Linked DNA regions of Saccharomyces cerevisiae S288C. The protein of the gene in region 2 interacts with the protein of the main gene of each other region in a biochemical or structural test. Each region holds a gene or a part of one and is shown on either strand. Other genes may lie near its edges. The genes, in order: LAA1 and LFT1.

Region 1 (15,576 bases), on a different chromosome or scaffold from region 2:
GATGGTTCTGCAATTGCCTCTGAATTTTATTCGAACTCTGTATTCGCTGGGTTAGAATACCAGAATAGACAATTGCTATGGAATGCACTATTAGAACTCTTTTCCAATACACTACTTACGAAAAGAGGACTCTTGACCTTTGTTAAAAAACCACCAAGGTCTCGTTCTACGACTACTTATAAGACAGTTTGCCCCCGTTGCGGCGGTTTTCCAACCAACCCATACCAGATCGCTTGTTGTCGTGCGAACTACTGTTACGTGTGCGTTGTAAAGGCGTTGGAGTGGTCTATGTGCGATGCCTGTGGATCCTCTGGGAGACTGACCGCCTCACCAGTGTACTAAAGGGCCCCGTTCCCTCGCTTGTATCTCTATATATGTGTATACTATATTCATATTCATGTTGTCAAAATCGGTCACGTGGTAAAGGGTCTGGTTTTTTTTTTTTCACTTTCTGCTCAAGAAAAAAAAGAAACAATAAAGAAGTGGTATAATATCATCATGGAACGCTGTACGGGACGATGTGGGAAGCGACGTCTGAAATCCAGTAATAATAAACAGTGAGCACTTTAGGATAGCAGTAGTTTGCATTTTGCACGTTTCCCTTTCCATGCAATGTTTTTACCTCGTCTCGTTCGGTACAGGACCGAGAGGTTTATAAAAATGGTACCTACCAGGACCTTGCGACGAATCAACCACAGCAGCAGGGATCCAATTCAAAAACAGGTCTTGGCCCTTATCAAAGCAAATGCGAATTTAAATGACAATGACAAGTTGAAAATACGGAAATATTGGTCTGACATGGCGGACTACAAAAGTCTTCGGAAACAAGAAAATAGCTTACTGGAAAGCTCTATATTACACGAGGTCAAGATCGAAGATTTCATCAGTTTCATCAATCGCACAAAAACCTCATCTATGACTACAAGAGGAATTTATAGAAGAGAATGTTTGTACCAATGCAAGAAAAACTTGGATCTAGTCAATCAAGTGGTCTCCCAAGTTTCATCCGTAAGACATCAAAAGCCCTTGACTACGCAATTGGATACTATGCGCTGGTGTGTTGATGATGCCATCGGCACAGGAGACATAGTTATGGCTGCCGACCTTTTCCTGCTGTACTACAGATTATTTACAGATGATAAAAAGCTAGACGAACAATATGCTAAGAAAATAATATCAGTATTAGCGTACCCAAACCCACTGCATGATCATGTTCATCTAGTCAAATATTTACAACTGAACTCTCTGTTCGAAAGTATAACCGGAGGCGGAATAAAGTTAACGAGGTTTCAATTAGAAACTCTTTCTAATAAGGCCCTCGGCTTAAGTAATGAAGCCCCGCAATTATGCAAGGCTATACTGAACAAACTGATGAATATAAACTATTCTTTGACTAACGATTTGAAGCTTCGGGATGATCAAGTGCTGCTTGCGTACAAGTCCATTGATGAAAATTATAGAAGAGGAAATGTTGCAAGTGTGTATTCTATTTGGAACAAAATCAAAGAGCACTATGTTTCCATTTCTGCACATGATTCCAGAATCATTTATAAAGTCTTCAAGATTTGTACCCATAATAGAGCCTATAGATCTATATGTAGCGAAATGTTTTGGCAATTAACTCCAGAGTACTATTGTAATAACCCTTTGATATTACCGGCAATTATTGACTTCATTACAAAGCAAGACTCTTTAACAATGGCCAAGGAACTCATGCAGAACATTAACAGATACACTTTACCCGAAAACCATCATATTGTCTGGCTTAACAAGAGATGTCTTTCTTCATTGCTAAGAATGCATTTGAAATTTAACGATTCTAACGGTGTAGATAGGGTTTTGAAGCAAATAACAACAAATTTCAGGGCGCTTTCGCAAGAAAATTATCAAGCAATAATTATTCACCTTTTCAAAACACAAAACCTCGATCATATCGCTAAGGCAGTCAAATTACTCGATACTATACCCCCCGGACAAGCAATGTTAGCCTATGGGTCAATAATTAACGAAGTAGTTGATTGGAAATTGGCTTCAAAGGTCAAGTTCACCGATAATTTGATGGCACTTGTAAACGATTTGTTGACGAAGGCACATGATTTTGATCCTGACCACAGAAACTCTCTTTGGAATGTGGTTTCCGCTTTATACATTAAAAAACTTTGTCATTATAAAAAGCGAGATGGTAAATTTGTTGCCAATGCCAAGAAGGATATCGATTTGGCAAAACTACTTTATATAAATGCTGCAAAGAGAAGTAAAACATACTGGACAAAATCGAACTGTAACCCATTCATTGCATCCTCCCCATGTGATGTCAAATTAAAAGTGAATAATCAAAACAGGTTTACTATTTTAAGGAATATTGCATTAAGCGCACTGCAGATAGGAAGAACAGACATTTTTCTTTGGGCGTGCGCAGAACTATACCAGAACGGTATGACGATTGAGGAATTGAAGTTAGACTGGAATTTCATCTTAAAACATCAAATTAGAAATTCAGAGTTCAAAACAAACAAGGAGATCATACAAGATATTAAAAAGCATGGTGTGTCGGCTGTCAAACGTTACTTAAGATGAACGGCCAAACGCACATTTACGATATAAATAACAAAGCAAATAATAACAAAACAAATTTCTGTAAATATATACTAAATCCAAGCATTGCATCCTAATTCTTTTCTTTTTTTGATCATCAAATAAATGTATTATTTTATGTTATATGCGTTAGACTTGTTATATTCTTTCATGCTATTCTATCGTTGTGTTATGAATTAATTTATATTTACAGTTTTTCAGTACATTCAATTCCTTTTTTTTGGAGGAGGTAACAATTTCACATCTTTCGATTGTTTGATCGCCGCGTTAGAGAAATCTCTCACTACAATTTGACAATTTACCTCTTTGCATAATGCCTTCTTCTTTGAAGGTGGTACTTTTTGCAGAAGTTCTAGCCCAGTACTTCTCTCTAAAGCATCTATAGGAACTTCAAAGTCAGTCAATTTCGTCTCATTTGATATCGGTTCGTTTGGCAATACAAATGCCGCGACAGCAATATCCTCTCTAGCAGGATTGGCTGTTGGTGCTTCTGCAACAATCAATTTAAAAAAGTGCGTTGGAACAGCAATACTGGGTGGATTGCCAATAACTTCATAATTAACCCTAAATTTATTATCTATGGGATCCTTTTTGGGTAGATACAATGGACCAGTCACGATTCTTACACTCTTATATTTCTTAGTCAATCCCCTACAAAAGTACTCCAAATGCGCCCAATAGTCTCTATTAAAACCTTCTCCTACTTGAGGACACATATTGGATAAGTAGAATGTATCATCCATGGCCTGTTGAGAAAATTTTGCGTCTGCAGCTGGGGCTTGATGGCCTCGATCATAGCCCGACCTAAAATAGTCTCTTAGTTTACCTCTAAACTTTTCTGGAATTACTTCATCTTCCTTGAAAAAGGAATTTTTTCTGTCAGCATTCCTTGCAGCCAATGATTCTGGCGTTATATGTTCGAGGACCCAATAAGGATTTTGAGTTTGTCTGTTGTAACATGAGATAAACTCTTCGCGGTTCTGCAGATCATGAATCGGACCAGGAAAACCATACTTGAAGAACCCGGAAGGATCGACGTTGAAAGAGTGAGATTGAATATTACTATTAGGTTTCTGGGTAGGTGGATAAGGTGTCTCAATGATTTGCGTTGGAGAATGTTTGTTCAAAAGAAGATAGGTTAAGCCAGTACCAGCACCCAGTCCGACTAAACCGGACAAGAGTATCCTACTGCACATGATAACTTTAACTTTGGGATCTAATAAGTGGGGAACTTAACTAAATGTTCTTATCTTTATACAATTGTAACTCTATAAAAACTAACAAATTACTTGATGAGTGACCAATAACCAATTGCACCATTGATATTTTTTCACAGATTTTATTTTTTTTTTCTTTTTTCGCGATGAGTTTTATTTCCGTGCATATGCATCCGACTTGCAATTAGTCGAAAGATTTCAGTTGAAAGGCCTCTTCGACAGAGCCCAAAGACTGCGATTTAACGTATGCCTCCATCACGGAACCTATAATTGCTTTTTGTTGAGGACTTATAGTGCTAGAAATGGCTTCTTTAAATGAATTTTTGTCCAATTTAGCCAAAGCAACTATGCCACTTGCTACTTCGTTGTCTATTTTCTCTGTATATGCGCTATGATATGCGGCAAAGAAAGAAAGACATAAAGCAATTGACAATGATGCCTTTTGGTGATCTTGTTTGATTACTTCCTCGGAAAACTGAATTATCAACTTAGTTTTAATGCTTGCCTGCGATAAGGAATCGTTTGTTTGAATATCTTGAAAGAATCTTTTTATAACCAACTTCATAAAATACTGCAACAACGGGTATTTGAAAATATTAGATATTATTCTCTTGAAGCCTTGTAGAGCAATTGGCTGCGTAGCAGGATTATTCAATGCCTCCGAGAGAATATTTGCGCACTGATTCAGTTCCTGAAAACTTAGCTTAGAGTATCCATTAGACAGCAAGATCAAAATGGTTGCAACTTTATTCTTTGAATCCAGCTTATGATAAATAACATCTTTTATTGACCCGTAGAATATTTCTAGTAACACAATATTTTTTTCGTCCTCAGATTCCGTAAGCGCTTTTACTAGTGCCTTGAAAAGTGGGAGTATGATTGGAATTATTACTTCACGATGACTACATTCATAAATTTTCCCTATGATGAATAAAAGACATGAATAAAGATCTACTTTGAACATATTGTCGAAGTTACTGATATTTGATTCGAACGCAATAAATGTTTTTTTCAACAGACTAATATCTGTGGGAGAGATTTTTATTTCATTATCATCTTCTTCGCTGGTAAGCACGTTATACTTAATAAATGGCAACCTCTCAGAAATAATTGTCATCAGTAGTCGCAGTAGCTCATATAGTTTGTCAATATCTTGTAGAAATGTTTCAGGAGTAGCATTACACTTCGAATACCCAATGATCAAGTCACTGATGATATCAACAAGCAAAAATTCTTCTTTACTGTCGCCTGTAGAAATCAGTCTGTCCATAATCTCAACAACTTCAGTAATAATATCATCCTCAAATATACTTTTTATGCACAGATTGCTCTTCAAAACATTGTGTAAAGCCGGTAAAACTTGCATCTTGACTGAATGATCATCAATATTTTTGACGATAGCCTCCAAACATTGGCTAAATAAAATAAAAAGAAAATACTCTAATTCCTCATCGTTAAGAGATGCCAAAATGACTTGAACGTCTGAATCCAGAGTGCACCCAAGGGCCTCTACGAAATTTAACCAGACCGGTTCATATAACTCAATTTTCGTACTTCTTGGTTCAATGAGACTATTTTCTTTCGAGTCATTCTTTACTTGCACAGTAGAATCATTATCGTTATACTTTATCATCATGTATTCACGTAAAGAAATGATCCATAATGGGACTAAAATGCTCCAATATTTCCTGGTAAAAGAGAAAAGCGCATCATTTGACGACGTGATGGATCTTTGCACTACCTCAGCCCACGCATCCAAAACGGCAAGTTCAATTTTTCTTTTCGCTTTGGGTGTAACGATTATAGCTTCCCCTATCCGTATACCGGAATTAGGATCTTTAAAGTTACCAAGAAGGTCAATTAGTAATTGTGAAATTCTTCCCAATTTATCTGGTGGCATTATATTCGATGCCAACACTTCAGCAGCAACAGTAATAGCAAAGGACATTACAGTAGGTGAGCTTCCTTTACTAAAAGCAGGCATTAATGCGCTAGTTATTTGGGCCTCTTGCTGTTCTAAAATCGACGATCCAGGAACCTGAGGATCTCTCATGGTGGAGTAGTTCTTGAGAACAAAATTCAAAATGTGTAGTCCCGTTAACTTCATGCCTTCATTCCTCACTGTAGATCCACGAAATGATATTTTAATGAGATCTGCAATTTTGTTGCTGAGGGCAAGGAGCAGATTTTCATATTTTTCGGATTCTAAGCACAACATTAATATTAAATTTAAGATAATCTGTCTGCTCTTCCATTGCAGGTTCTCAGAGTCGAGACCACCAGCATCTGTGTCAGTCAGTTGGTTAACATTCGCTATTGATTCTTCTTCTTCGCCTTTAATTTCCTTTTCTGAAGATTTTTTTAGGCCATTTACCTCTAGTAGGGCTGAAACGTCTCTGTTATAGCTTTGGAAGAGTCTTCCTAAACTCATATTAAATATTGAGTATAATTTATCGAACCAATGATTATCTCTTTTGAAAGTATGTAATATCCATTCGGTAAAATAATTCTTGACAGAACCGGAATTTGGAAAAAGTGCGAGATATCTCCAGCTCAAATTTTCCATTTCTTTCATGAAAAATTCCTCCATCTGTAATTTGTACAACAACGTCAATAAATCAAAGTTTTCAAAGGCGCCTTTCAGACTTGAAGTTCGAGAAATGAGTTCATTTGAGCCCGTGAATGTAGTGTCAAAATATGATGAGCCTATTCCAGTCACTATTGAACTTTTAATTATGCTCTTAGAAGCAAGAATAAAGATTTCATAGTTTAGAATGTTTTTCATTTTAAAAGTAGCTATGTTTTCAAACATTTTAATGCTGGTTATGCTGTTGAGAATATTATTTGAAATTAACATGGAGAGTGTAATGTTTCTGAACGAATCAAGAACCTTGGTGTTAAGTTCTAGAAAATTTGGCCCCACAGTTTCAGTCAATGTCCTTGAAATTTCACCGATTGCTACGTGAGAATTAAAGTCCCTATTATAGTTACAGCGAAGAGTAGAGCGTCCGTAAATACCATACTTATCCTGGACCAAAAGCTCTTCCATAGAACTTAGCAACAGAGCTGCCGTCTTTAAATCAATCACTAAATGTTTCTCAAGAAGAATATGCATTGCTTTCAATGACCATGAATGAACAACAGGGTGTGGATCCCTCATTAATGCAAAAATTACATCAAAGTATTCTTCAAAATTAGCATATTGTGAGTTATATTTAAAAATTGTAGCCAATGATAAGACATGAAACATCCTTAAGTATGGTTCGTCCATATCTGCGACGTTTTTAATGAATATTCTTGATTGCTCTGTAAGGAATTTTTGTCTTTCTTCATCGCCAAGTGTTCTTGCGATAGCCGCTGTCAGCAATCCTACACAATCTGCCTTGATTTTTGTGAGAAAAATGTCATTAAAAAACTGAATCTTCTTTATTGATTCGATAATTAGCTGCCCCACTGAATAGTCCAACTCTAGATTGTTTTCTTGCATGATGCGTAAAGCATTATGCAGAGCACTACAAACATTAGCAGCCACAGCCACGCTTCTCAATGGTGTAGTCATTTTGGAGAACATGGACAAATTTAAAGTTTCCATAATGGAATACTGTATTTTGCTATTCAAAAAAGGGAATACAGATGAAAAAAGTTCCATAGAAGAGTCGATTAAAGATGTAGTGACCTGAGGTGCGTAGCGGTCAATTTGGGAATAAGACCCAGATCCATATAGTAGAATCAGTGAATCTAAAGATAAAATGGGTGAAATTGGTTTTGATACTTCTACTTCGAAAATATTGTACCAATTGTAATCCTTGGATGGCCAACTTCCACTTATTGATTCATCATACTTGTAAGCACTGGACATCGATAAATTCACGATACGGTCCCCAGTTATTTTGCTGGATAGGCCGAATGCAAAGCCGTTGTTTTGACGAAGTAAAGTATTAATTGAAGATTCTAATACTATATTACTTTCCATGTCGTCCTTGTTACTCACTTTCCTGTTACCAATATCTTTCAAGCTTCCCAAAACGGAACTACTTGACTCGGTGTAAAGATTGGGATCTGAAAAATTCTTCACGATTAATATTAGTAAAGAACTATTAAAATCGCTATTTATGTATTTCTCCAGCTTAAGGTATACCTGTAAAATTCTGTTTTCATTATGCAGTAAAGCATTGTCAATGTTTTTCGATTTCAGGTCAATGGAATGATTAAAATTGGAGCACTTAGTTAGCAAATATGATACTTGTTTAGCCATTTCTTTATCAATTGTCGTATTGCTTAAATACGTCAATAAACAAGTCAATGCATGATTTCGGATTTCTAGGTTCTTGTATAATTCATCCTCGTCGTGGTATGTGTAGGTATGTGTTAATAAAACTTTCCAGAAAAGAAATAGTTGGGGTATCTGCAGCTTCAAATACTGTTCATCTTTATAATTCATCAATCCTATCAATAATATCCAGCATAAAAGACCCTTGAAGTACAAATTAGAAGAGGTAGATGTAGTATTATTCTTAATGAATGATGTAGAAAACACTGTAATTCTCATGATCAACTCATAGGAAATATAATCGCTCTCGGCACCTTTGATTAGATTTGCTATTATAAAAGCATGGCCATGATTTTTATGAAAAATAAATTTTCCTGTAGATTTAAAATCAGTGGATAGTGCACGTAAGGAGTTTTCAATGGTCTCCGAAAGATATTCTGGACAGTTGTTCAAAAAAACCTTCAAAATTTCCACAGTGTGAACTCGTATCGTAAAGATTTCACATGTAGCTAAATCAACCAGTTTATCTCTAATCTCTTTAACGGTATTTTCCTCAGTGGTGAAAGTAGAACCTAAGTCGCTGATTAACACATACGTGAAGTCAAGCTGCAGTAATGTAAGCCACTGTGTTTCAGGCTTCGCATCAATACTATATTTGAAATTTGAAGCTGAATCACTTTTAGAGGAGCTCTGGTAAGTATCAGAACAACCTAGGATGTAGTACAACATTTGAGTCTTTGCAGAATCATTCAAATGTGGCAATATTACTTCATGCATATGTTGAAAGTATCTCAAATACCTTGATAATGTATTCATGCTCCTATTATTCACTTCGTAACTGCTGAAGACGCCGCTTAAAGAGAGAACTATATCCAAATATTTTGAGTTACTCAAAAAAGTGTTGTCAGCTAATAAATTCAAGTTTATCAAATGAATAATAGATTCGAAGCAACCACTTTCCACGTCTCGTGTATCACAGTTTAAGAATATCTTAACGTAGATGGACCATACTTCTTGTAGAGTTAAAATATTTTTAGAAAAGTAATAATCAAATAATATCTCCGCTAAAGATTTTGCGGTAAAGATACGAGTTTCGTCGTTTGCAAAACCATAAACACCTATTTCACCTTCGGTAAATCTAGAATATATGGTCTCTATAATATCATGGGAGTGCTCTCTGATAAAATTAGTTTGTTTGAAATGAGCTGTCCAGCATTCAATTAGGACAGACACAAAAGTAACTGAAAAGTCCTTCTCATCAGTGGAAATACTGTCAAAAACGGTTTTGGATAGTTTCGAAAATTTCGCATATGTGGCTGGATCAAGGATTTTATCATCATTATTGGAATTTCTTAGAATCGCATTAAAAAGCTGAAGAAGGGTTGTCATGAAGGTAGCATGATAATATTTACTTTTCTCCATAATTTTTTTCAGGTTTTTGAAAATAGCATTAAATAACAATGGGATTAAGGAAGAGATGCTACTTCCAAAATTTTCAAATAATTGAACAAGTATGGTACATGCGATATCTTTTGCCGGTGAGTATATGTACTTTTTTTTTTTTGTACTTGACTTCTTCTTTTTTTTCTTTTGGTTAGGGTCGGTATCTCCATCATCAATGGATACATCTTCTTCACACAATACGTTTGTTAAGAATGCTGCGGAATCAAAAACTACACCAGGATATTCGTCCTTCAAACGCCATATGGAAATCGTATAGAGCTGAGACAAACTGATAAACACTGAATGCAGTTCTAAATCATCCGTATTTTCTAGTACGGAGATATACCTCACAAACTCATCCAGTTGAGTGTGTATTTCCTTAACCTCCTGTATTTCATTATCATTAACTTCTTTCAAACATATAAGCTTTTCCAAATTGGTGGTTATCCAAGTTAATAAATCGTGACCATTGTTTGATGATGTTTCTATCACTTTCTTGAGGGATCGGTTTGCCATTTTCGTGGCCTGGGCTATTTATTTTATCTTTTAGTTTTTTTTAAACCTAATAACTATTATTTCAATTGAATAATAACAAATCACTGTTTCAATATGGCGATGAAAAAAAAAACGGCCACACACGGTATGCCACTATGTGGTGTGAGGAAGCAGATAAAATAATAATACATAAAAAGAAGGATGTAGAAGAATATACAGATATAAAGAAGTCGCGAGTTTAAAGGTTCAATTTACTGTTGGGTCAGAGCTGAATTCTGAGGAAAATATTTGATTGTTGGCAGAAGAATCTTGGCCAATTAGTGCTGAAAAATCGATGACATCAGGTAATACTCTGTTAATTGAGTAGTCAAATTCCTCAAATTCTGCTAGAAGTTTATCTAAGTATTCTTCTTGTGCAGCTGTCGTTGTATGGCTCTCATTATTGGTATTCTGAAACTTTAGATCAGCTTCCCCTTGTGGAAGATTCAGAATGGAACGAAGACTCGTGGCTGGAGTTTGGTGATGCTGCTGTCCATGATGTAATTCTCCTTGGCACTTCGTAAAATTATTATTTGTCTGCAACTGGGGCACTAAAGCTCCACTACTTTCTTGCCGTTGCAATTTAACTATATTCAAAAGTTGTTCAGATAATACAGAGGTCTTCTCGTTAAACTCTTTGAACAATTGGTTCAATACTTCAAAAGTACGTTTACTCGCATTTGAAGCACCCTTCAAAAGTGATAATATTTCACTGCCAAGCTGCGTAGCGTTATGAATATCCGAATCAACCTTCCCATTTCGTATCAGGCCCTTTTCTGTTTGGTAGACATAAAATTTGAGGCAAGCAACACTAAAAAAGATTGTATGAATGGAAAACCAGTAGCTACCACTCAAAAGGTTTTGCGTAATCATTTCATAAGATAATTGAATAACTTTTTTGGCAACTTCAATACAGTTTTCCGCCATGTGAATTTGAAATTGGAACTCTGGGATATCTAACGGGTCTATAGAAATATAGTGGTAGAATGGTTTATAGAGTACGATTTTGGATAGAAGGAAGTCCAGATATAATAATTTCTTAGGTTTAGTGTATGGAGAACTAGTATCATTTGCGGAAACAGTTAGAGGTGGTTGCGTTTGACGATACCGTATTGTGTCAACCTTCAAAATATCTGGTAATTGGGCATACCAATTATCTAATTGATCGTTCAACGATACAATCTGCGTCCTAGAATCCTCTTCTAATGGTTTTCTTCTCAAAGAGTACATTAGCTTGTAGATCCGAGACATGATTAAAATAAGCTTTGTATGCTTATTATTCATTCCACAGGAACTTATCGTTCGCCAATCTTGAAACTTTATTCCAATAGTAGATATATTTTCATCGTCGACGTCTAGAGGAAACTCTTGGTCGATATCAGATTCGTCGATACCGCTTGGAAAACCAAGAATACAATTCATGTACAGATCTAGTTTGTACACAGACCAAAAGAGCCTTTTTTTTGTCTCATCCTGAATCGGAGTAGGACCAACTATGGAAGACCGCCTGTGTAAACCTTCCTTTAACGCAGCACGCAGAGCGATACCAATGAACGAATAGCAAGCCTTCAAGTTTGCTGAACATTGCAAAAAGATCGTCATCATAAATATAGCTTGAATGGAATAGATGTCAGTAATATTAGAAAAGTCCAAAGAGTTTTTGGCCTCTAAAAAGTATCTGTAGCCTTCATCAGTGTAAAATTCCCTAGTTGCTTTACTATCCTTGCTGAGATCTTCCTTAGAAAAAAGGGCTCCGACTGCTAAAACAGAATAAATTAAAGGTTGTGTTTTCACTTGTTCTGGAGTATATTGCTTGCCATGTTTTTCTGCTTCGTATATCGAGTCCAAGATAGAAATGATAGTAGGTCTGTGATAGAACCTAAATAGCACACAGGCACAATCCCAGGTCTTTTGAATAAATTTCAAGGCAATCTCTCTGGGTGGTAATGGAACACTTGTTTGCATGTGCCAAGGCGTATCTTTTGGTAGACTTTGACGTATTACCTGATTAACATTTAATTGTCCTTGAAGTAGACACGTTTTAATAGTGTCCAAAAAATTCTGGCTGTTAAAAGAAGAAGAAGCAAGTATTTGACGGAGTGTTTCAGGTGGAAAGATCGTCTCTACAACCTTTTTGTAATCAATGGAACTTATAGGGCCCTTGCTATCTTCCCGTTCGTGGGAAGCTCTCTGTGCATATAAGGAACTATCATCGCTTACTTCCCTATCAAATACCGATGAGTTCCGTGGGGGGCGATCATATTTGCATTCGTAACTATTAGTCTGGCAAAGTCTACATGGTATATTACCACTACATCGTACTTTCCTCTTTCTGCAAGCTATGCAAGCTCGATGTGCTCTTCCTTTCGTTGGCTTCAATTCGTTGGTGCCCGCATCTCTAGATAAAACCAAAATCTTAGATCTCTTGCCTTTCAACTTCTTCATTGCACACGAAATAGGCTTTCCAGATTCTTTCGGCGTCATCTATTGAATAATTCTTTGGTCTAAGTTGTATGTATTACTCTTTAAATTGAGACAATCAAGGAAATCACACATATAAAAATACTGTGGATCTGAAAGATTGGGTTTTTATAGGATAAATGCGTATAAAGGTAGATCCTAGGATTAATTATTATGGTATTTACATATCGCCAGAAACTTATATATACTCCCCTCACGCCGGATTATTATTTGCGATCGTCCCATCGCTTCTTTATGAGCTCGTGTAAATGATGACCTTGTGGACGCCCCATTTTCCTTTCGTACACATAGTAGCTGAGACAGCCTACCATAATTGCCAATAACGGATCAGAAAATCTGCAATAGAGACCAGCTTGGGAAAGAGCACATCGACTTGTTTGATGTTGCCTCTTCGAAACAGCAAATGGTTAACTATGCGTTAGTAAAAGAATAAGTGTGAAAAAAAAAAAAATAGAATAGCGTATGAAGAATGAACATACTTTCCTAATAGAAAGGGAGCGTACTGAACCATGTTATCGATGATCTTGTGTGGAATCCTCTTATAAATGGAGTGAACATTTGTATGCCCCTTGTGTGCGTGTGGCTAACAGGGAAAAATAGAGCCCGCGTAATCTTGAATAATCTAATATGTGAACAGTCTTTTATTTCCGCACTTCATACCTATATAGAGTAATATAATTAATCATTGATAGGAATTTACATAATGCAGCAATCTCGTATGCCTAGGCCGTACATTACCTTTTCAACGTCTTTCCGTACACGAACCCAATCGCTTCTCCTCTGAACAAATTCATAAATTTCCTCTTGCGTAAAAATGCCATTGAATTTCCCAAGATCAGAAATAAGCTTTCCCAACTCTTTCGAGTCCTTGCCTGAAATGATGTATAACTGGCCAATAGACTTAAGCCCAACAAAATAGGGAACAACATTTTTTTGTTTTAATTTGTTAGCAATAAAATCGTAAAAGTAATTTAAATCGCAGATTAACCAAATTGCGCCCTCCGTAGATATGAAGCACTTCTTCAGATGTTTGACGATTTCATTAAAGAATCTCTCGCCAATTTCTTGTTGGTACACGTCAATAGTACCCTTGTCTGTGGCACCAGTCAGTAGAAAGCAATGATTAGAAAGTAACTCGACTACCCTGATAGCACATTTGGTTGGCTTTATATCCCTTATTGGAGAATTCCTAGAGGGTGGCGGTGGATTATAATCGTCAGGCAATTGAAGAGTCTTGAATACAAATGAGATTTCATCCATTAGTTTGTTTATACCGATATTTAAACCTTCGGCTACAAAATCATCGATAGAAGTCTCAAAATTTTTTTTTAATTGGATAACATCATTAAGAAAATCTTTATTTTTATCGATAATTTTTTTGGGAATCAATTCGTTCTTGTAAAAAATGGAAATCATTTGTAATATTATGTCACCTATATTGATAAGTTCAGTGAATTGTACTAAAGGTTCGACTTGAGTATTGGCTGGCGAAAGTGAATTGAATTTTATTTCTATTTGTTCTATTTCGTTAGGATTATATTTTTGTAGTAGCAGGATTGCCTTTTCAAATGCAGGTTTAACGTGATTTTTATTCAATTGTGTAATTAAAATTTTGAAAATCTCTTGACAGCGTAGCTTGATCAATGGTAGCAAACTTTCAATCGTATGAAATTTGTAAATTTGATCCGTCTTTTCGCTTGTTTCCTGTAAAATTTTGTAACATAAATCGAGACTTATTAACGATTTAATGTTTTGCAAGTTATTGGAAATTAAATTTAAGTTGTAGGCTAGTTGTAGTTGTTGCTTTAGCCTTTGATTTTCATTGTTCGAGAACTTGAAAATCTTGGTGAAGGAACTTAGAAAGTCTAGTTTATCATTAGAAATATCAGTTGAATGAACTGATTGATGGATCGTACTTGGTTTTGAATCCGCTTCTGGGACAGTTTTGGAGGTTTCAGTAATTATTGAGAGGTCATTCGGCAATTCATTGTTACTTGCACTCGAAGCATCCGTTTGATCTTTTAAAGTGTTATAAATTTTTGCGTTTTGCTCACGCTGCTTGTCTTGAACTTGTGTGTCATAATTAGCTAATTGTGAGTTGATCAATGATTCAAATACTCTAGTTGTCTGATTCATATAGTTGACAACAAAGGGCTCGAGATACAGGTTTAAAAGGTCACGAACAACTTTACGGAAATTTGCGCCTGCGTTTACTGAGTCGTTTAATTCAGTATCAAACTTTTTTATAAATGTGAAATAAAGTTCGGGTACGCATTCATAATTGGCTTTACTATCCTTTCCATTTTCTTTTAAAAATTCACTATAGCTTAATAAGATATTGTTTAAAATATCTAATAAAATATCTTGGATAAAGGACTCGATGAACTGTAATATTACAGGGAACTCATCTTTGAATAAAATGTCCGCTAATTTAATCTTTTCGTTGAGGAAATCCCTTAGCTGATTGAGAAACGTATCTAAATTTTTAGAATTAAATATCACGGTACTCCCACCGCTGTCCTCTTCCCTTGGTTGTTCGGCCCAAAATAATTCATCATTAGACGGCAAAACCGTTAAACTGGGAGGCAAATCAGCCTTTGACTTGAAAAATTCGATAGCATTGCTTTCCTCATTAGATATCAATAAAATTTTCATGAAACGAGCGACGGCAGCTAAATTATTAGACTGGTAATTCAATTCTGACTCTTTGAGAACAGAATTAATGAAGATTTCCCTAAGAATGTTGAAATTAGTTTCAATCCTAGTAAATGTTTCTATATCATTTTTATTCGAGAAATTGTACTTTTTGATAAAATTTAGAATTCTTGTTTGTTTCAACGGATCGTTGGAATATGAAGTAGGAAAGAAATTTGCTAGATTATTATTATATAGCTTCCTAGCGTATGAGTTATAACAACGGTAAAATTTCACAAAGATTTTTTTAGAATTTTGAGCAGTGAAAGATTTGTATATTTCGAAGATGCGAAGGGAATTTTGATTATCATTTTCATCCAGCAACGTAATTTCTTCTTCTTC
Region 2 (10,890 bases):
TTCTGGTTCTTCAGTTAAATCTTTGATAACTTGGATCCACAGGTCCTCAAATTCATCGTCGCGAATCCAAGGAGCTCTAGCCTCATTAAATATTTGATAGAGGGCATCTTCCGTCATACCACTCTCGATGTCGTCTTTTCCGTCACCGCATGAAATTTGTGCATTTTTGGCTCTCAGAAACTCTAAAGATTTTTCAACCACTTCGGAAACTAACTGCTGTTTTTTGTCGTCTTTAACACATTTGCCTTGTGCAGGAATAATTTCCAAAAAGTCAAGTCTAGATGGTGCTAACTTGTAATCTGGCTTACATTTAAGTTTCAAATAAGGATAACAAATACCATTGGGTGGACAAGGGATACATTTCGGTCTGTAGTCCTGCAACAAATTATCCAGTTTTTGAATAAACTCGAAGGAATTGCCACTAACTCGATGGGATGGTACTTCATGCCCACAGTAACCTATGAGCAGTCTTTGCTCTCTATACCAGAGGCCAAATAAGAGAGGAATAACAATGAATATGCAAAATAAAAATAGCGCCAGTAATGATTTGCTCAAAAATTTGAGTGCTCTTTTGAACTTATGCCTGTTCCCGACCTTCCCAGATCCTTGCTTAACATCAAATTCACTCCCATTTTCATGCTCTAATTGCTCATTTACTTCCTCTTGAAGTTCTTGCACTCTTGCTTCACACTTTTCGACGTCTTTCTCTGTGGGTAATTGGGGAGTCTCGATCCTTGTAGGCACTAAAACTTCATCTTCATCCGATACCAAGTTACTACTATCTGTATCTATCATTTCGACCACATTATTGCTGGTATTACCCATAGGCTGATGAGGACCTGGCGTGGTGATCTCTGGAAGCAAGGGTGCTTCCGACTCTGAGCCAGAGCCTTCGGACGAAAACAAAGACGGTGTTCTTTCACTCTGAGAAGGTTCTTGCTGTTCCACTTCTGGAACCAGTATTGTAGATGGTACCTCCTTTTGAGGCAATTTATCCGCAAATGAGGCAGAAACTTTTAACTTACTCAAGGGTGTGCTATGGCCTGTTCCATTGGCAGTTCCGAGCTCTTTTGGATTGTGTCGTATGTTCGGTACAAATGGATCATTTTCCGTACCGCTTGAAGTCAACGAATCGTTAAAATTATCCATGCTTACTGGCTTTCTATTTGTGTTCTTTATTGGTGTTTTGACGGAAAGTTTTCCTAAAATGGCAGAGCCATTTCCATGCTCTTGGTTCAAATCACTCGTCTTACGCTTTTTTGCCTTCTGGTAATCCTGTTCAATTTCTGAATCTGATGATAGGAGGTTCAAATGCTTATTATCGATTTTATTTTCCTTTGAATTAGATTCAGACCAGTCGTCAGAATCAGGGTCTTTCCTTTTCTTACGAGTATCGGAATTTTGCTGGAAATCATTGGTGTCTGATTTGTTGGAGCTTGATGTTATCACATCATCCTCTTCATCGTCCACTTCATCGGTATCCGTTCCACTAGGTACAATTAAAGGATCGTCTTTTTTATCATTGTCATCATCATCATCATCATCATCATCATCATCATTACTTACATCATCCAGTATTCTATTCTTCTTAAACTGTTTGGCCATGGGGGAAGCAGATTTCTCCCTGCGAGCTCGTCTACTTCTACGAGGGGAAGCTATAGATGGGGAAGATGAGGGACGGTCCATTTTCACAATACCTTCATCGCTGGGCCGAACGTTCAGATACATTTTCCGTAACTGCGGGATCTGCGGTTTAACCTTTTCATCGAACAGCCCCACCAGCGCATTTTTCCTAGCATTAGATGGGAAATCGACATTATTTTCTACCAATATCCTCCTCAAAGTCGCAACTTTCATTGAATTCGGATCAAAACCGTCCTCTAAATACTCCAAGTCACTATTCATCGCGGCACTAACTGAGTACTGCTACCGTTCTACTGTTTGTTGTTCTGGCCTCTACGTTCACTCCGTATGGTCTCAGTCTACTATTAATAATGACTGAGGACTATTTCTCTTCCATGTATTCCGCATAGTATATTGACAGCTATACAAGTAGATCGATGTCCAGATTAGCCACCACAAATTGAAACCAAAACAAAAACAAAGGGGGCTTCCTAAAACAGTAATTTTGAGGGCTCTTTAAAACCCTTGATTTCCGTTCAGGGTGATCAATATATATATCCTAGTTATTTTATAGATGCCCTAACTTTATTTTTAGGGCACGTGGGGGTCTTCTCTTTTCTTTTTTCATTCCTTTTTCATCTTTTTTTTGCGCCTGGCGATGATGAGAAAGGAGTTCTAGTAGCACAAGGTTTAAAGGATATTATCAAAAAATAGATAAATTTTAAAAAAAAAAAAAAGGCATCTCTTGACGACTTTTCTTCTCTCTCTCTACAGGCAGAATTAGCAGCGTTTCTCGTATACTAGTCAATTATCGGATATTAATAGTATTTTTATTATAGTCTCCCTGCTATAGCCAATTTTGATTCAGCAAAACTCGATTGAACTGCTAGTACGCCAGATTAATAAATTATATAACAAATAAAAAGGGGGCATTCTAAAAAAAATTATGGACAATCAGGCTACACAGAGGCTTAACGACCTTTCTCTAGAACCAGCTCCTTCACACGATGAACAAGATGGTTCAGGACTAGTCATTGACATAGATCAAAGAAAGATTGGTGATGAACAAGCTGGTGTCGTAGTGGATGATGAGACACCCCCCTTAGAGCAGCAAGATTCACACGAAAGTTTAGCTGCTGATTCTCGGAATGCTAATTTCTCGTATCACGAGAATCAGCAGTTGTTGGAAAATGGCACCAAACAGTTGGCCCTAGATGAGCATGATTCTCACTCTGCCATCTTGGAGCAACCATCGCATTCTACCAATTGTAGCTCTTCCAACATAGCAGCGATGAATAAGGGCCATGACTCGGCAGACCATGCATCTCAAAATTCCGGGGGTAAACCGAGGACCTTGTCTGCTAGTGCTCAGCATATCTTGCCAGAGACGCTCAAGTCATTTGCCGGCGCTCCGGTAGTGAATAAGCAGGTACGTACCTCTGCCTCCTATAAAATGGGAATGTTGGCTGATGATGCTTCACAGCAGTTTCTTGATGATCCCTCTTCCGAGTTGATTGACTTGTATTCCAAAGTGGCAGAGTGTAGAAATTTGAGAGCCAAATATCAGACCATATCTGTGCAAAACGATGATCAAAACCCAAAAAATAAGCCAGGCTGGGTAGTCTATCCACCACCACCTAAACCTTCATACAACTCAGACACTAAGACTGTTGTGCCAGTAACAAACAAGCCGGATGCGGAAGTTTTCGATTTTACGAAATGTGAAATTCCTGGTGAGGATCCAGATTGGGAATTTACCCTCAACGATGACGACTCGTACGTGGTACACAGATCAGGTAAGACGGATGAGTTAATTGCTCAAATCCCTACCCTTCGTGACTACTATCTGGATCTAGAAAAAATGATTTCCATCTCATCAGACGGTCCCGCTAAATCATTTGCTTATAGAAGGCTGCAATACCTAGAAGCACGCTGGAATCTTTACTATCTCTTGAACGAATATCAAGAAACTAGCGTTTCCAAAAGAAACCCACACAGGGATTTTTATAATGTTAGGAAAGTGGACACTCACGTTCACCATTCTGCTTGTATGAACCAAAAGCACTTATTACGTTTCATTAAACACAAATTGAGACATTCCAAAGATGAAAAGGTTATTTTCAGGGACGGGAAACTACTAACTTTAGACGAAGTATTCCGTTCTTTGCATTTGACTGGATATGATTTATCCATCGATACTTTAGATATGCATGCACATAAGGATACATTCCACAGATTCGATAAATTCAACTTAAAATATAACCCTATCGGTGAATCTCGTCTCAGAGAAATTTTTTTGAAGACAAACAACTACATCAAGGGTACCTACTTGGCTGACATTACCAAACAAGTCATATTCGATTTAGAGAATTCAAAATACCAAAACTGTGAGTATAGAATTTCTGTTTATGGCAGGTCTCTCGATGAATGGGATAAACTAGCTAGCTGGGTGATTGACAACAAAGTTATTTCCCATAATGTTCGTTGGTTAGTCCAAATTCCGAGGTTATATGATATTTACAAGAAAACTGGCATTGTTCAAAGCTTCCAGGACATCTGTAAGAATCTGTTTCAGCCACTATTTGAAGTGACCAAAAATCCTCAGTCTCATCCAAAATTGCATGTATTTTTACAGAGAGTAATTGGGTTTGATTCTGTCGATGATGAATCCAAGGTTGATCGCCGCTTTCATAGGAAATATCCCAAGCCATCACTCTGGGAGGCTCCTCAAAACCCTCCTTATTCCTATTACCTGTACTATTTGTATTCAAATGTCGCGTCTTTGAATCAATGGAGGGCTAAGAGAGGGTTTAACACTTTGGTTTTGAGACCACATTGTGGTGAAGCCGGTGACCCCGAGCATCTCGTTTCAGCATATCTATTGGCACATGGTATATCACATGGTATTTTATTGAGGAAAGTTCCATTTGTTCAATACTTATACTATTTAGATCAGGTTGGTATCGCAATGTCACCCCTTTCTAATAACGCATTATTTTTGACCTATGATAAAAACCCATTTCCGAGATACTTTAAAAGAGGTTTGAATGTCTCACTATCCACAGATGATCCTTTACAATTCTCATATACCAGAGAACCATTAATCGAAGAATACTCAGTTGCAGCACAAATTTATAAATTGTCTAATGTAGATATGTGTGAATTGGCAAGAAATTCCGTGTTGCAAAGTGGGTGGGAAGCACAAATCAAAAAACATTGGATAGGGAAAGATTTTGACAAGAGTGGTGTTGAAGGTAACGATGTGGTTAGAACAAATGTTCCTGATATTAGAATTAACTACAGATACGATACATTATCAACTGAACTGGAATTAGTTAATCATTTTGCCAATTTCAAGAGAACCATTGAAGAAAAGTGATGGTTATACGCGCACATGTATATAAGGAGAACTTTTGGCAGTTCGATACACTGACTTCACGGAGAACAAATAATACTAATCTGAAAAATAATCAAAGAATTTTTTTTATAATTTTATCGTTAGATATCTCTTATCTACACACCCCTCAATTGAATAGCGTCTACCAAAGCTCTTGAGAGACCATTTACGTCTTGGGGCTTGAAATCATCACTTAATTTATAGATCTAATAGGTAAAAACAAAATAAAAGGAAAACAAAGGTGAAGTTAGTACAATGTGTTTCTGGTGAGGCTGTTGAAGTTTTTACCTCGAATTTATTATTAAAACATACTTTTCTTATGAGCGCTTCGTCATAAAATCTCGATAAATTGTCATCATTAAACTCGATCTCTTGTCCTTTTACTATAGAAGTCATAATCGTCCTCAATTGCTCTTTGTCTACATCGTCAGTATTAGTATGGAACTTAAGGCATATTAACTGTGACGAATCGTCTTTGATTCCGAATTTGAGGAAAGCATCACTAATATTGGAAGTGGGTGAAAGACATAGTACGCACTCGGAATTCAAATTTCTTGTTCTCATCTTGTTATATTTCACTTCTATTAAGGTCTTGTAAATTGCAGAATACATCTGCTCCCCCGAACAGACTAACCGGGGGTCAATAAAGGCAAAGGATGTCGACAATTCACTCATTTTAGAGCGTATTTCTTTAGCATTTTTAACCTGTTCAAACAATGCTAGTGAAACCTTGATATCAGGAAATTGCGGTATGATGGATACTACCATGATGATTGTATAATGGGCAGCGACGACGTATATTTGGTTATATCGACAAATTTGTTGACCGATAAAAGATTGTTGATGTATATTTTGGTTTGCAATTGAAATTTTCGCGCAAAAGATTAAACATGAAATATTGAAATCAATGGTATTAATGATCAACGAATATTACAGATCATCAATTAAAGAAACAAGCATTGTCAGAATCTAAGCTGGTTATTTTTTGGGAAGGACAAATTATGGACGAAAACAAAATAATCGACCAGTTGTTCAGTAAGGAATACACACCGCAAGATGACTCCGAGCAAGCCAAAAATGGAGATGTGTCGTTATATGGGTTATTAGATGAAGTAGCGAACGGTAGGCGGTTGATGAACTGTTTGTTTCATTCACCTATGCAAATGGGGAATAAATTGAGTACCGACAAACTTGATGGGAAATGTCGGCAAATACAAAGAGATTGGATTGATGAGGAAAAAACCATAACTATGAATTCTGGCGCTTTACAGCTGGATGGGCCAGTTCTATTTTCCTGGAGTCATAATGTAGCACCTACTTCTCATCAAGAAACTATAAATACAACCTTCAAGCAGGGCTCTCCGAGCAGAGGAAGCAACAAGCCCAAAATTACTACTACCAGTCAGTTATTTGATAGAGCTTCTGCTGAGATTGATAAGTGTATAAAGCCCAATAGCAAAAGTTGGATGGTGGAAGAAAGATTTGAGAGAAATGAGGCACATACAGCTGATGGCAAGAAACCTTCTACGTGGGCTAATTCCGATTTCAAAGTGGACCCGCTACAGAAATTCGTTGTTAAGGAATTGCCCAAAGAAAAGAAGAAATCAGACGGTGATAAGACAAAGAAAAATAAGTCGAAAAGGAAGAGTTTTTTTGGATTTTGGGGCCATTCTGGTTCTAAATCAGGTTCAAAAAAGAAATCCGAAAAGCCTATAGAGGCCAAAAATGAAATTCAGGATGAGGTAAGCCAAAAATCTGGCCTATCACCTGACGATGATACAACTTTCAGTGATAAAAATACCATCCAATCAAAGCAAGAGAGTATGAGTGATCAACAAGCTGAACCCAAAGTACACGAGCCCGCAGTTACTAACACTGGATGCAGTGAACATGATGATGGTGATGGATTTGAACAGGTACCTGCACAATCTAGTTATCATCCATCCAGCGAGCCCAGCATTGCCAGCACTCCTTCATTAACTCTAGATTCATTCATCCCATTACAACCAAAGAAGAAAATATAATAGATGCTTGTAGGCTTCAACATCTATTAGAGTCATCGGCGACGAGACGCCAAAAAATAAAGCGCAAAATAATCACACCCATTTTTTTTGTCGAGAATGAGAAGGAGATGGCTTAGAACTGGAAATATAAGGGATAGTGGCATCACGAGAAGCTGTTGTTCTGTTTTTTTAAAGTGTCAATTGGCCTGATTATACTCATAACTGCATTTTCATCACTTCCACGATCACTTGAAGTTGTTACAGCGAGTGTTTATACCTTCAATTCTCGTGTCACATTTTGCTATGAATAGGACTGTCTTTTTGGCATTTGTATTTGGATGGTATTTCTGTTCAATAGCTCTCTCCATATACAATAGATGGATGTTCGATCCGAAGGACGGATTGGGTATTGGGTATCCCGTGTTGGTGACAACATTCCATCAGGCTACTTTATGGTTACTATCCGGCATATACATTAAGCTCAGGCATAAGCCAGTGAAAAACGTTTTAAGAAAGAATAATGGTTTTAACTGGAGTTTTTTTCTAAAATTTTTACTCCCTACGGCAGTCGCTTCTGCAGGTGATATCGGGCTCAGTAACGTTTCCTTCCAGTATGTTCCCTTGACAATTTATACAATTATCAAATCTTCGAGCATAGCTTTTGTCCTTTTATTCGGCTGTATCTTCAAGCTAGAAAAGTTTCATTGGAAGTTGGCACTTTCAGTAATAATTATGTTTGTTGGTGTAGCATTAATGGTTTTCAAACCAAGCGATTCCACCAGTACCAAAAACGACCAAGCCTTGGTCATTTTTGGCAGCTTTCTTGTCCTAGCAAGTAGCTGTCTTTCTGGGTTAAGGTGGGTTTATACGCAGTTGATGCTTAGGAACAACCCAATTCAAACTAACACCGCTGCAGCAGTAGAGGAATCTGATGGTGCCCTTTTCACGGAAAATGAAGATAATGTCGATAATGAACCTGTTGTTAACCTCGCCAATAACAAAATGCTGGAGAATTTTGGAGAATCCAAGCCTCACCCAATTCATACAATCCACCAGTTAGCTCCTATAATGGGCATTACTCTGTTGCTTACCTCGCTACTTGTGGAAAAACCATTTCCTGGTATATTCAGCTCTAGCATATTTAGGCTTGATACGAGCAATGGCGGTGTCGGCACGGAAACTACCGTCCTATCCATTGTGAGGGGTATTGTTTTGTTAATTTTACCTGGTTTTGCAGTCTTTTTGTTGACAATTTGTGAGTTTAGTATTTTGGAGCAAACGCCCGTGCTGACCGTATCTATTGTGGGTATAGTGAAGGAACTTTTGACGGTAATATTTGGTATAATTATTCTTTCTGAAAGATTAAGTGGTTTTTACAATTGGTTAGGAATGCTTATTATTATGGCAGATGTATGCTATTATAATTACTTCAGATATAAGCAAGATCTATTACAAAAATATCATTCAGTTTCGACACAAGATAATCGTAACGAGTTAAAGGGATTTCAAGACTTCGAACAGTTAGGAAGCAAGAAAATCGCACCATATTCTATTAGTGTCGACCTAACAAATCAAGAGTATGAGCTTGATATGATTGCTCAAAACGTTAGTCGTTCATCCCAGCAGGTCTGAGAGCGATATAGTAAGAGAGAGAAAGAATAAAGGCAAAAATTTAAAACATGTATACAGCATACTTAAAAGTCCTCTAACAGGACATAAGCAAAGCACATGGGAATAGACAATACATCCGCACATAATTAAAAATATTTTACTAGATAGATTTTATACGAAGGTTCTTCACACTTTTTCATATATACTTTATTGACAGTTAATAAAAGAACATTATCAAATTTATACCTTTGCGTTTTAGACACTAAATTATTGAATACAGGAAAGAAGAGGCACTTAGATAAATCTTTAGAAATTTACTTATTTCTTTCATTTAAATTGGCCAATGCTTTTGGATCCATTCAACTGCGGCCGTAAAAATATCGATGCGCTTGCATTGTGTTCAACCTCTGTCTCGCCGAATCTTTAGCTGAAGTAAGGAAGAATTGTTTGATAATTTTGGTTAGGTAAATAATTTCACGTATAATGAACCAGAAGTCCTCGAGAAAACTGGAAAGTTAACGAAACAGAATGAGCATCCTTACACAATTTTAACATTCATCTGATGATTGCTGATATTCCATTGTTGATAAAGGCTATAATATTAGGTATACAGAATATACTAGAAGTTCTCCTCGAGGATATAGGAATCCTCAAAATGGAATCTATATTTCTACATACTAATATTACGATTATTCCTCATTCCGTTTTATATGTTTATATTCATTGATCCTATTACATTATCAATCCTTGCGTTTCAGCTTCCACTAATTTAGATGACTATTTCTCATCATTTGCGTCATCTTCTAACACCGTATATGATAATATACTAGTAATGTAAATACTAGTTAGTAGATGATAGTTGATTTCTATTCCAACATACCACCCATAATGTAATAGATCTAATGAATCCATTTGTTAGTTAATAGTTTAAATGTTTTTATCGGAAGAGGTTTTGTCATCACATCAGCAATGTTCTTCTTGGTCTCGATGTAGTATACGTATAAATTATTACCTGATACTTCATCTCTAAGTCTCATTGCCTTTGTGCCAAAAAATCTGTTTCTAAATTTCTCTTCATTTGTAGACTTAATTATACTGATCGTTGATCTACTATCAGTAAGTAAGCCTTTAATAATTGGTTTCTTGTTAAGTTCTTGTATCAGGTAACTTAGATTATTTAATAATGGGACAGATTCACTTATCGCGTGTATTTCTGCTTCCGTAGTTGAAGTACATGTTAATGAAGCCTTGGTGGACTTTCCTCCAATTACCTTTCCATTAAGTAAATATATGTTGCCAATTTGTGATTTATAATACGGTTGGTTGCCATACGAAGCATCACTTATTGCGACTAGTTTATTATCTGGCTCGGTAGGTTTGTTTTTGTGCCATATCAGTTGTTTATCTCTAGTGTCCCACATGAATTGTATCAACTCATATGTCATGTCTAAAACTTGCCTAGAGGGGAATAGTATATGTTGAGCAAGTGTGTTGATGTAGTATAGTAAGTCAAATCTAAATTTATATCCAACATATGAAGCTAGACCAATCAACTTTTGCATTTCATGTACCTTCTCTTTGTATTCATCTTCATCTATTTCTAGTTCATCCTGGTCTATATAAAGACCTGGTTGACCTGGAGCGCTAAGTTTTCTTCCTTTTGGATTCAAAGGTACGTTTAATTTGGGTATTTTCTCAGTTAATGAGTTTTCCATACCTAATTTCATGTATTTACCTCTTTGATATTTGATTTCTAAGCCAAGTATGTCGTACTGAATTTCGTTATCACTTTCACCCAGATTTATTATCTTTGTATCGTATTGTTTCTTGAGTGTTGTTATGATTTTCTTATTTGCATTTAAGTCTTTGCTGAATAAAATCATGTCGTCAACAAATAAACATATTGTTACTTGACTATTCTTAAATACGCATGACCATCCACGAACTTCTTCCATACCACACTGTTTTATCAGGTATGATTTGATAGTTTCGTACCAGTTCGCTCCACTTTGTTTCAATCCATAAAGTGATTTCTTCAAACGTATCAACTTATCATTCATTCCTAAATGTGGTGGAGGTCTTATGTATAATTCTTCTTTGATGTCTGCATACAAATATGCCGAAGATATGTCTAATTGTGTAATATAGTAGTTATTGTCTAATGCAAGTGACAGGGATGTCATTAATGCATAGTGATGTACGGTATTGGATTGCATGCCTGAGTCGTAAGTGTCAGGATGCTGAATATCACCTCTT

Evidence for each region.
Region 1: the proteins of LFT1 (region 2) and LAA1 form a complex in vitro, tested with the Saccharomyces cerevisiae proteins (one study listed by BioGRID).

The regions. Positions count from the first base shown.
Region 1 is NC_001142.9:37,393-52,968, forward strand, and holds LAA1 (AP-1 complex accessory protein LAA1), read right to left. Parts: upstream 10,042-15,576; coding exon 3,997-10,041; downstream 1-3,996. Other genes in the region: PEX2 (ubiquitin-protein ligase peroxin 2), read left to right, coding at 1-342; CBP1 (Cbp1p), read left to right, coding at 613-2,577; NUC1 (ribonuclease), read right to left, coding at 2,802-3,791; YJL206C (uncharacterized protein), read right to left, coding at 10,267-12,543; NCE101 (Nce101p), read right to left, coding at 12,747-12,876, 13,020-13,051; RCY1 (Rcy1p), read right to left, coding at 13,237-15,576. UniProt on the Saccharomyces cerevisiae protein: Involved in localization of clathrin adapter protein complex-1 (AP-1) and subsequent AP-1-mediated clathrin-coated vesicle cargo loading.
Region 2 is NC_001145.3:200,540-211,429, reverse strand, and holds LFT1 (Lft1p), read left to right. Parts: upstream 1-6,021; coding exon 6,022-7,044; downstream 7,045-10,890. Other genes in the region: SRC1 (Src1p), read right to left, coding at 1-1,905; AMD1 (AMP deaminase), read left to right, coding at 2,570-5,002; CGI121 (Cgi121p), read right to left, coding at 5,137-5,226, 5,333-5,788; YMD8 (Ymd8p), read left to right, coding at 7,327-8,655.